2 linked regions of the Caenorhabditis elegans genome follow. The protein of the gene in region 1 interacts with the protein of each later gene in a pairwise test. Each region holds a gene or a part of one and is shown on either strand. Other genes may lie near its edges.

Region 1 (7,146 bases):
CAGTTTTATTATTTTGAGGGTATCGTAAAGAAGATTTATTAGCTAATTATTACGGGAATACTGAACTCGGAAAATGCGTATTGCACAACATATTTGACGCGCAAAATATCTCGTAGCGAAAAGTACAGTAATTCTTTTAATGACTATTTACTGTAGGTCGATTTACGGGCTGGATTTTCAAAACGAATATATATTCGAAATGTGACAGCGATATCAAACTATTTTGTCATTTTTGTGTTTTCTTTTAATATTTTATCGATTAAAGATGATTCTCGTAAATCGACACCCGTGTTACAGTAGTCATTTAAAGAATTACTGTAGTTTTCGCTACGAGATATTTTGTGCGTCAAATATGTTGCGAATTACGCATTCGCAGAATTTTGTGCCCCCATACTACTTTCAATGCAAAATTAAGTGATTTAGGGAAATTTCATTTAAAACAAATTTTTGCCGTTCAAAATTTGACACGGGGTTCTGTCCTTCCTCATTGCATTTTTCGCGCTCCATTGACAATCGCCAGCGGGACTGGGAAAGTCGTGCACTCCACACGGACAAGTACATTTAGTTTTACAACTAAAATCGAGCCGCGACGCGACACGCAACGCGCCGTAAATCTACCACAGATATGGCCGTGCCAAAATGGCCTACTTCGGCAAAAACTCTTCCAGTTCAATTTATGAGGAAAGCCAGAAATCCGTGAAAATTGAGCCGTTTTCGAGATAAATCGAATTTAAAAATGTGACTACTGTAGAAATTTGTGAAAATATCAAAATTTGCGCGTAAAATTCGATGTATTAGCCAATTAGCATACAATAATTAATAATTGTTTATTTGTCACAAGAAATAGCTACACCGGAAGATAAAGAAAAAAAAGTAAATAAAAAAGATGTGTGGACAAATAAGTAAAATGACCAATTGGACCAGCTATAGCCCGGGAGGTCAAGTTGGGGGGAAGAGGGTGTCAAATGGGATAGAGCCTAGGCGCGACGCAAATGCATTTGGAGTTAACAGTTTAGGGAAACGTTTTGCTATTCGATTCCACAACTACAATTTATTAGAAAAAGCAAGAGTTCAAAGCATATTAGTTTCTCTACAAGACGAAGAAGTAGCAGATGTTGTGGTGGATGATGACGTGGATGGTACCAATTGTGGCACCGCAGGCTTTCGCTCTTTCTTCCTAATCTTCCGCTCACCCCTCGTATATTTCTTCTCCGTGAAACGTTCGCTTTTCCCCGGATTCGTCAGTGGACGGCGTTTTCTGGAACAATTCAAATTTTAATTTTGAAAATTCAATTTAAAAAATATCTAGTACCTAGAATATACGTGCAACGTACACTTGTCTGAAACATTGAAAGCGACTTTTCTCGGCTCCTCAAACGGCGACTTCTGATCCTTTTCCTTTACATTAGGCTTTGACCGTTTTGGGTCCAGCTTCAATCCTTCTGCTTCTGCCTGGAATTATTACACAATCATCGAAAAACTTTTGCCGGTAATTGCGCTCTATTGATAATTTTTATAGTGTATACAAAAAGTTTAGATTAATTGTTCCTGAAAACGTGATATTATCTTTGCTCAATGAGTGCTCAAAATACGGCAGCCGGTCTCGAAGCGACAAATATTTTTTAAATGCAGAAAGGTGTGCGCCTTTAAAGAGCACTGTAATTTCAAAATTTTGTTTCTTTGGAATTTATCGATTTTTCATTGTTTTTCCCAAGAATTTATGTGTTTTATTGTTTTTATCGGAAAGCTTTTTCGAAAAATCGATAACCTCTCAGATATTACGGAAGCACAAAATTTTGAGAATGCGTATTGCGCAACATTTTTGCCGCGCAAAATATCTCGAAGCGAAGTAGCTCTTGTGTCGATTTACGGACTCGATTTTCGAATTGAATCATTTTTTATCGATCGAATATTAAAATTAAGCAAAAAAGGAGAAAATAATACGTAGAATTGAATGAAAACGCATTGATCCCGTAAATCAACACAAGAGCGCTACAGTAGTCATTTAAAGAATTACTGTAGTTTTCGCTACGAGATATATTGCGCGTCAGATATGTTGTTCAATACGCATTCTCAGAATTTTGCGCTTTCGTAACACAAATGTTCAAAAAATCGATAATTTTTTTCCAGCAAGTATGCTTCTTCAAGAAAAAGGCTCTCACAATTCTTGTCGAGATATTTTTGGCAAAAAAATCGCAAAACAGCTGCGCTCTATCAGCTACCGTACCGTGGAGTACGGTGGACACGGTTAATATTTTTCCAACAGCATAAAGCGGATACTGTAGCTCGAAAGCTTTGCTCGTGCCAGGACCCAATCCCCTTACCTTCTTCTGCTGTTCAGTGTCGTATTGACGCTGATCAACCTCAAACATCAGCGTCCCATGAAACGTGTTCGCACAAAGTCTCTTCATTTCCTTTTCCTTTTCCAGCGGATCCACTCCGATCGCCTTATCAACTATCTTCAGTCTCTCCAACGCGTCCTCCTTCGGATCCAAAAACGGATCGGTTCGATGAAGTTTCGGTTGAATCGACGCCGGATTTCCGCTGTGCATTTGTTTCAACGGGCGGTGCATCTGGATTAGAACTCTCGGGACCTGCTCTGTGCCGTCACGGGCTAGCCAAAACGGGCGGTTATTGAGGAACACGTCGTTCCGGATGGCTCCCTTGTTGCTCATACGCAACTTCCACGTCTCCTCGTCAAACAACTTTTTCGGCAGATCCGGACTGAAATCGATCGGGTCGTTCGGATTGTATTCCGGCAGGACATAGGATTTGGTAAGGATTTCTTTCATTCTGCAAAGAATATATTTTTTTAAATATATAACAGGCATCCAGGAAAAACTCACCGCTCAACAGTACAATCCGAAACTGCTCGAGAATTCTTCTTTTTGTAGATCTTCTTGAACAATCCCTCCGCTTGCTCCCGTTGATTCGGCTTCGATGCTACGGGTGTCGCTCCTGGAGCACCCGGTTGCTGAACAACTTTCGAAGGATGCTTCTGCAGCTGCCCGGGTCCTCCTCTACAAGGCTGCTGTGGCTGGACAATTTTCGTGGTAGCCTTTCTCGGTCGTTCGTCGACGGACTTCTGATCGGCTGGGGGCAGTTTGAGGGAACGATCCGTTCTTGCAAGAGTCGGTTGCAAATATACTGATGGATGAGAACGTGTTGTTTTCTAAAAATGAGATATTACTAGTGGTTTGATTGCTAAACCCCACCTGCACAGGCTGCTGTGAAGTCGACTTCTTCTGCAGTTTCGATTTCCGCCCACTTGGCACTTTCCCGTTGTACAGGTTATCCGAGCTCGCATCCTCCGTCGATCCCTTCTTCGTCCCCACAACCTTCTTCTTGTCTTCCGGTGATTTCTTGTTATCATCCTGCGTCGCCGCGTCCTTCTTCTTATGGATCTTCCGATCGGTGATCCGACCACTTTTCTTATCCTTGGTGTTTTGTTTGCTAATTTTCTTGACAACTGGTATTGCTGGTGGTGGTGGCTGTGGTCTAGCTAGTGGTCTCTCCAGTTTTTCGGGCTGCTCCGGTTCCAGCTTGGGCCTTTCCAACTTAGAATTTTGGTCGTCCTGAAAAATAACGAAGTTATGGTGAACTCCCTAGGAGTGAAAAGTATCCCCAGACCACTTAACAAGACGCTATCAGATAAAGCATCATTAACTGGGTCAGGTGCATCCCGATCGCGTTCTGAATTGCATTACTTCGGATATGATGCCAGATAGAAAATTTCCAGCCGATACGCATTCCCAATCAAGTGTATAGTCTTCCCCCCGAACATTCTAAGGTACAAACATACCACAGATTCCATCTCTCTTAGTATATGGTCCCACTCACCAAACTCGTCGGGCCCAGCCAATCGTCATATTGTGAATGTTCTTCACTTTCACAAACTTCTTCTAACGACATATCCCAGATAAGATCAATCCTTTCCTCCTCCTCCGGATCATATTCCTCATATGCCAGCGTCCCTTTCGGCGGAGGGGACTTATGTTGTTTGCGGATCTTCTCGGACGGGAATTTTGGCATGAGAGTCGGCGGGAGCTCCATTTTCTTGCTATTTGGATCTTCTTCTGTGATAGTCTTTACTTTTTCCCCGGACTCTCTACTCGCCTTTATTTTCTTCTTTTCTCTGAAAATAAAGAATTAAGGTTAGCTTTCGAAAATAATTTTTTTCACTTACTCCTTATTCGATTCTCCACTGCCGGCGTTTTTCACATTTTTAAGATCTGGCTCCATGATTTGTTGAGTCTACTATTTATTAGTAAGAGACCGTAGAAATGCCACTTCTTCGGTATTGTAAAATAGAAATAAATATCGACTTTTGGAGTGATGATGACATTTCGAAAAATATAAGATTACGGAAAAAGATGAGAAATACGTGTATGACATCACGTAATTAAAAAAAAAAATTAAAATGTAATCTCTTTATATGTATTTAATTTTTTTGTTGTAAACGGTTCTTGTTAAATTTGGAATAAAGTATTTATCTCTTAAATACTTAATAAAAAATTATTGTTTTTTAAGTCACAATTATTTATGTTCAGCATATTTCAGAATATCTCTAAAACAAGATTTTTTCGAAATTCCAAAAATTGACTAATGAAATAAAATAAAATAAAATAGATATGTATCTGGTTACCTCTAATGTCATATGTTTTGATTGAATATATAAATATATGTATAAAGTAAATATAACCAGTTTTAGCCAATTTAAAATTTATTCATTCAAGATCGAAAAAACACTATGGACAAGTTCTGGACAAAAATTGTGATTTTAGCTGAAAATAAGCCTTTTTTCAGAACTTTGTCGCAAAAACTTTTTCTGTACTACTTCTTTAAGCCAAAGCTCAATATTTTACTCGATGCTTTTTTCATGACGTACGTCCGCACTGATGCTCATCGAAGTATGAAAAAGAGCCCTCATTACCCCTTTTTTTTTTGATATTTCAGTTTTCTTGTCACAGTCTGAAAAATGCCTGAAATAGTAATAATCTTGAACAATTTTTTGTCTGTCGTATTTTCCCAAACCACTTGTATTTTGAATTTCTACCTTTTATTCTCGATTTTCTACTCGAAACGGATCGCATGGAAATCTGAATTATCATTGATATATACTCGATTTGCTTTCGACATGTTTTACACGTTTTTCGGTGGGTTTTTTTGAAAATACGCTCTATTAGAGCTAGGTGGCCGTGAAAAATAGAAAATTCGGCCACCAAAATAATATGCGGTTTTTTTTTTTGAAAAATCAGTCGTTTCGCATGATGTCAGAGTGTCTCATTTCAGTTTGATCTACTTACTTTACAATTAGATCTACAAAAAATGGGGGAAAAGAGACGCAGAGTTCTCAACTTATTTTGCATGGTTAAGAAAGTGCTGACGTCACATTTTTTTGGACAAAAAATTCCCGCATTTTTTGTAGATCAAACCGTAATGGGACAGCCTGCTCCCACGTGTCATTTTGGATAGGCGGTATGTTGCAGAAAAAAGGAATAGAAAATTAGGCCACCGATTTTCATTTGGATTTTGTACTCTTCTCGGACCATCCAAGTGTGTCTGCAAAATTTTTTTTTCATTCCTCAACCAGTTTTTTTGGACATTTAAAAACACCAAAAGTCTTAAAAAAATACCAAAAAATGTATGTATTTTTAGAAAAAAAAAACTTCAAAAATTACAAATTTATGTCTTTTTTGAAAACTCTACTCAAACAATATACCTGCCTAAGCCTGAGCCTCAGCCTAAGCCTATGCCTATGCCTCAACCTTAGCCTTAGCCTAAGCCGAAGCCTAAGCCTAAGCCTAAGCCCCTTTGCATCAAAAAACCCTCTAACTAAAAATTGAATTTTGCTGAGTGGCCGCAAAAGGGAAACCTCAGCCACCAATTTTTTTGGCGGATTCCCAAATACTTTTTTTTCCAGTTCCCCATAACAAGATCTACTACATAATTCGCCAGATATTCCCGGGATTTGTCGTTAAAAATCTATCATTTTATCTGATTTGGCCAACAATTCCACTTGGATGTATTCGTGCGACATTGGTATTTCTCATAACTTTAGATCGAGTTATCGCCTTATTTTTTCCAATTTCTTATCACAATCATCGCTTCAAAATCTCGTTATCAGCAATAATCATCTCAGTTTCCTGTTTTGGAGCGTCCGATCATCTGATCCTATTCGGTTACTGTAGGTATACGGTAGATGTTCCTTTGGAGTGTGACAATTTTAACTGCGTTATTAAAACTTGTTTCTATAGTTATTGGGTCTCAAGAGACCAAATTCAATATATTCTAACCGGTACTTTTTCTGTAATTCTGCTATTTCGGCTGGTGATCTGGAATAATTTTGTGGCGTCGCAAAGGAATCAGAACCTGTCCAGGGTGAGTGGTGGCCTAGAAATTGCAAAAAACTCTTCCATGCCTCAGTGGCCTAGAATTTCAAAAAGCTGTAGCATTTCTGTGACCTAGAACTACTGTCCCAGATATGGTAGTTTCATAAAAACTTAGGCCTAGGTTAGGCTTTGGCTTAGACCTAGATTTAGGCCTAGGTTTAGGCCTAGACTTAGGCCTAGACTTAGACTTAAGTGTAGGCTTAGGCTTAGGCTTAAGTTGGCGTCAGTGGGGGAGCGTGAGCTCCCCCATTGACGCTATTTAGGGTTTTACACTTAGGCTTAGGATTAGGCCTAGACTTAGGCTTAGGCCCAGGCTTAGGCTTAGGCGCAGACTCAGGCTTCGGCTTCGGCTTCGGCTTAGACTGGGAGGAAGAGAGAAAAAAGAAATTCCAGAAAACTCGAGAATTTCCCTTTATCTACGTGGCCTAAAAATTTTAGGAAAATCTACAATAGGTGGCCTAGAAAACTAAAAAAAACTCTTCCACGATGCACCATTTTCAACTTCCATTTTTTTTCAGGCGACTCGAATAGCCCTTCTGGAATCCATTGTCATAATCTGCTTCAGCATAATTCCATCACTAATTTTTTCAACTTTTCCGTCCCTGAACTTTGTGTCAGTTGGTCCATGGACTATTGTTCTGAAGCATGCCGGATTTATGATCGAGGCATTGATTATTTGCAAATTTTTATTGAAAAGAAAAAGCAAGAATGGTATTGGCAGAAATTCGACTGTGCTCACATGGTCACAGTAAAT
Region 2 (5,365 bases), on another chromosome or scaffold:
ACCCGAACATGTTTGCCGCTCGGCCGTGAACGGGTATATAAACAACTGCGATTCTCCATTCTCTCACATCGGTCCGGAGTTGATGGGTTACCCAGTCATTCTTCTGCTTGCAGGAGAGCCCGGTGTCCTTGTGATGCCAAACCCGTGTTCCTAACAGAATACAAACCCTTCCCATCGACACCAACTTGACCGTTGTTTTTGGTTTTTTGAAACGAGAATTCAATAAGGATTTAAAATTGGTTTCTGTTAGTTTTTTTTTGGAAAATCTAGTTAAAAGTTAACCCTTTCATGATATGAACACTTTATCACTGTTTTTCTGTTTTTCAGAATGAATCTTGCAAGGGTCAAAAGCTAAATTGGATATGCAATCTCGGTTAAAAAACCATAAAGTTTCCGATTTATCGGTTTCAAAAAATAATTTTTATTGAAAAAAGTATGGTATCCGTGATGAAACTTACCAAATGTAGATACATAAATTTCAAAGTTTTGTTTTCTAATGAGAATATAATAGGGATTAAAAATCGAAAAACTAGAATCCTATTTCTTATTTGCTTTTTCAGATGAATTAGTTAAAAGTTAACTTTATCAAGATTAAATTAAATTAAATTAAAAGATCCGAGATTTTACAACGTAGCTGTGAACTCGAAGACCTACTCGAATTTCACTTCAGCATCTCCATATTGACATGGAATTTCCATTTCAATTGCAGCAGTCTGTGGAAGAATCATTGGTTCGCCGCCAGCCAGTAGAAAATTGTTGTCTGAATTGTTATGATTAGTTGAAATCAACTGGTACTTTTACCCAATTAAAAAGTTAATAATAAATTTTTTTTTTAATGTTTAAATGATTTTTTGAAAATAGGAAAATGAGCCAATTAAAAATACTCCTATTCAAACATTGTAGGGGTTCGGACATGCGACAGCGATATAGTTTTCTCAAAAAGTGGCAAAATCTAAGTGATTGCCACTTTTTGCATGTCAATGAAAAAATCTAAAAAATTTTTTGGAACGTTTTACTATGATATTTGGCCATTTTGGCATCATATGAGCGTTAGGATTTTTTTTAAATACAGAATTTTCAAACTAACATCAACCAAAACTTTTGCTGAAATTTTCAAATTTTTCAATCTTTTTGGAATGTTTCAATTGATTTTTAGAAACAATTTGTTCCTCTTACCTGGTGTGAAACTCAATGGACTTCCAGAGTCAAATCTTTGCGAGTCAAAATTATTATCTGAGTTTAACTTTGATTTCCAGAATCTAAAAATAGTAATTTTTGAAATTCTATTAAAATTGAAAAAAAAAACTTCATGTCAGTGTCCGCTGCATTATGCCATCCACAATATTCCATATCATCGTCAAAATGACATGTAAGCTTTCCACCGTCGGATACAGTTAGCATTGGTTTCACAGGAAATGGGGTAAGAGATGAGATCGAACGAATTTCAGTTGCGGAGTACGGTAGATTTGATGTGAGGTAGTCAAAGTCAATTGCATTTTCACTTGTACGTTGTAGGGATGAGACTCCGCGAGCTCTGGCTCTTCGAGATGAAAATTGACTGTACTGAGAGCTCAGGGAGTGACAAGCAAAACTGGTATCTGAATTAATTTGAAGGTCATATCTAGCTAAACTTTTGATTTGAATTACCGCGCTTTTGTCTCTAAACCACACCTATTTTTCTGTGCCGCACTTTGCATTTTTACATTTTAGACGCAAAATGGTTCTAATCCGTGTTCCAATTTTCAATATAGAAAAAGCCCTACAAAATGAGCGATTTTTCTAAAATCCCAAAAATTAAATTTTAAATTTTGAATAACCTCAAGAGCGACCATTAACAAATTTTCATGATTTTTTAAATAAAAAAGGACAGAAAAAATTTGGTAGAAAAAAAGATTTCAAATCCAAAACTTTTTAAAAACTCACTCAAACCATAAAGTAGCAATATCAAGACATATATATTAAGTACCATACTTCATGAAGAAAATAGTTTGAAAACATATAAATTTCGATTTCAAATCGCCTTTCTCAAAGTTCAATGAGCGTGTGGTATTGCGTACTCCCGAGAATGAATATGAACTACTGGTAAATTGCCTAATTAGGTACGGTGTTTCACTGTCGAGAGTCACAAGAGAAAGTGGGTCAGTGGGTAAGAAAAGTGAATGAGAGGAAAGATATTTATTATTCAATAGACATGATTGAAAAATGAAACTAGAGATTTTCAAAGACAGAGCTTTGTAGTATAGCCTTGCCAGATTTAAACAGGAATTTCTAAGATATTGAAGTCAGGGAATCGGCCACCACCATCAGTAGACAACATTTTAAATTTTAAATATTCAATTCCTCAAAAATTAGATTCAAAATTTAATTCGACGTTTTCAATCACGTTTTCGCAATTTTCGTTCAATTTCGTGTAATATTTACTTGTTCACAGTTCTCTTCGTGGATTTTGAGTGTCTTTTTTTCGAAATTATTTTGAGGATCTTACGCAGTTTTCACCAGAAGAATTACATAATTCCATGGAATTCCATGCCTGGAAATTTCTTTCACTTTTTGCCGCCAGGTATACGGTAAGCAATTGCGCGTAAAGTGTGGTGTATGCGTACTCGCTTATTTTGTCATCCTTTCAAATTTAGAACTCATTTCAGAGGTTTTCTTTCGACTTCTAAATATTTTTTCTTTGTTTCTGTGGATTTAAATAAACTCCATATGTTTTTCTAACTCTTGGTTCATCTTGAATCACACTCTCTGCTTATAAAACTGCAAAAAATGGCTAAAAACTTCAATAAATTGTAATTAAGAGCTTTTAGGTTTGAACCATGTTCCGCAACCAATACGACGGCGATGTAACAGTCTGGAGCCCACAGGGACGTCTTCACCAAGTCGAATATGCCGTTGAGGCGATGAAGCAAGGTTCGGCAACTGTTGGAATCAAGAGTGAAACCCACGCTGTCATCGTCGCCCTGAAGGTTGGCGAAACAACATGTTAATTTCAATTAATTATATTCGTTTCAGAGAGCGCAAAACGATTTGTCGTCTCATCAGAAGAAAGTGTACGAAATTGACACTCACGCTGGAGTTTCCATCGCTGGTCTCCTCTCCGATGGTCGCATCTTGGCTCGCTACCTCCAAACCGAGTGCTCGAGTTGGCGTTGGGATTACAAGCAAGCGGTTCCAATCAAGAAGCTCGCTGAATCTATGCAATTGAGTAAGCGAATTTTGGAAGCAATTTTCTCAAGACATTGTTCTTATTTCAGAACTTCAAGCCAATACACAATATTATGGCCGTCGTCCATTCGGAGTTGGAATTCTGATTGCCGGATATGACGTAAGAACATCATAAATATAATTGTTCTTTTAAATATTTTTTTGTTCAGAAAGATGGAGCACACATCATTCAAACTGACCCATCTGCTGAAGTCGTCAGCATGCATGGAACTTCAATCGGAGCAAGATCTCAGTCTGCGCGCACTTACCTCGAGAGAAATGTTGATAACTTCGAGAAATGTATTTATTTCGGAATATAATTGATAAAATTGAGCAATTTCTTTTTTCAGCAACTCCGGAACAATTGATTGTCCATGCTCTCCTTGCTCTTCGCGACACACTTCCAGCCGAAGAAAACCTCAACGCTCAGAATACGTCTATTGGAATTGTCGGGAAAGATTCTCCATTCAGTCTTCTCGAAGATGCTCAAGTCGCCGTTCATCTCAACCAAGTTTCCACACATCCACGCACAACTGGCGGAGCAGCAGCAGCAGCAGCTCCAGGTGGCGCCGAACCAATGCAAATGTAGATTCTAATTTGAATCACAGACCATGTGAATTACTTTCGTCTCCATTTCTTTTTTATGTGACCCGTATAATTTATCGCCGGTTAATCTCCCTCTCGTTCCCGAATTAAATTATTTTCCTGCTCCAAAAGATTGATTACATATTAATTTCCTTTTTCCGTTCAACAGTCATGTATATGTTGCAGAAAGAACATTAAAGGAAGCACTTCTCGTCATTCGCGTCCATGCCTTCTGTCCATTAATGATGGATGTCTGCGCCGTAGTACACCACGCACCCGCCGTCTTCCGCTATTCCCCGGCGAGCTGCTCCACGGCATTATTCCATAGTTCTTCTCTTCAGTGTTCCATACACTACTACATCACTCAAATTGTAAATCAGCGAAGAAAGGGGAGCAAAAGAAGAAGAAGGGGAGGAGTGTGTGTGATGCAAGAGAGAAGAGTTTCAAATTTCGTCGAATTGAGATTGAAATCTTCTTTGTCGCAGTCAACTCTTTTCTTCGACCCACTTCTGCCTTTTTTTGTTTTTCGATTGGAGCTCTTGACAATTTTTATACATTTTTCTTCATTTAAAAATCCACAAATAGGTAAAAAAGGGAAGTAGGATTTACGGATCTACTGGAAGTTGTTTTTCTAACAAGCGGTTTTGCTTATTATGATCACGAGCAAAACCAAAAATGTTTCCCAAGCGAACCACAATCAATGCCCGACACCATTGTGTGTGCCGCTTCTGAATGAACTGAATAGAATTCTCTCGTTTCTTCCACCAATTCTTCTTTCATTCCTTGTGCCATTTGTCTGACAAGCGAAGAGAGAAAAGAAGAGCGCCCTTAAATGAATTTGTATCGAGCCAATGGCATCGGAGGGCCATGCGGCTCTGTGTGGCGTGCGTTTCCTCACTTCAAGCACTGCCGCCACCAGCACCAGCACACAATGTTCTTTTCGGCAGGAGGCGAGGTCTATTCAGCACTTTTTCTTCACTTTTAGACCAAGTTTTCGAACACTTTTGCACCGAGTGCACACATTGATTCGTGGAAATGATTTTTTTATCCTTGAAATTGTTTTTCTGAAGAAAATATATCCTGTAAATTTAAAAGTTCAAGTGTTTATTTAAAAATAGTCAATTTAATTTTGGAAAATAAATTTTTTTTAACTGCAAATAAGCTTGTTCGGTCGACTTATAGGCTGATTTACTCATAAAAATTTCAATTCAATGGAAAATATTATTCATTTTTACTTAGACGTCTAAAAAAATACATTTTATTTTTCTTTTATTATATTTAAATTTATTCAAAACATGGTGCAATAGAAGCACGAGCTACAGTAAGTTGCACAGTATGCCGGAAATTGTTTTCTTTAGACGTCTATTATTTTTTCGTGAACAGTCAAACCCCGCTTTAAAGGCACACGATCTTTTTCTGAGTGGGTCTCGACACGATCTCAGCTATAGTGATCACAACAAGTTCCAAATTTCACAAAATTGCTGGTCTTACTTTACGAGCATACTTCACGGGCAAATTTGAGCCAAATAGAAAATTTCTGATTCCCAAAAACAATTTAATATGCCCTTATTATGTA

What was found.
Region 2: the proteins of Y39G10AR.15 (region 1) and pas-6 interact in a two-hybrid assay, tested with the Caenorhabditis elegans proteins (one large-scale study listed by BioGRID).

Annotation. Positions count from the first base shown.
Region 1 is NC_003279.8:2,323,011-2,330,156, forward strand, and holds Y39G10AR.15 (DUF5523 domain-containing protein), read right to left. Parts: upstream 4,320-7,146; 5' UTR 4,243-4,319; coding exon 4,187-4,242; intron 4,136-4,186; coding exon 3,841-4,135; intron 3,576-3,840; coding exon 3,216-3,575; intron 3,173-3,215; coding exon 2,847-3,172; intron 2,794-2,846; coding exon 2,325-2,793; intron 1,453-2,324; coding exon 1,313-1,452; intron 1,259-1,312; coding exon 1,072-1,258; 3' UTR 982-1,071; downstream 1-981. Other genes in the region: srbc-64 (Serpentine Receptor, class BC (Class B-like)), read left to right, coding at 4,979-5,156, 5,924-6,381, 6,911-7,144.
Region 2 is NC_003283.11:5,581,786-5,587,150, reverse strand, and holds pas-6 (Proteasome subunit alpha type-1), read left to right. Parts: upstream 1-2,807; 5' UTR 2,808-2,816; coding exon 2,817-2,966; intron 2,967-3,012; coding exon 3,013-3,205; intron 3,206-3,254; coding exon 3,255-3,325; intron 3,326-3,374; coding exon 3,375-3,504; intron 3,505-3,554; coding exon 3,555-3,793; 3' UTR 3,794-3,990; downstream 3,991-5,365. Other genes in the region: CD4.11 (MAM domain-containing protein), read right to left, coding at 655-760, 1,177-1,259, 1,307-1,598, 1,924-1,969. UniProt on the Caenorhabditis elegans protein: The proteasome is a multicatalytic proteinase complex which is characterized by its ability to cleave peptides with Arg, Phe, Tyr, Leu, and Glu adjacent to the leaving group at neutral or slightly basic pH.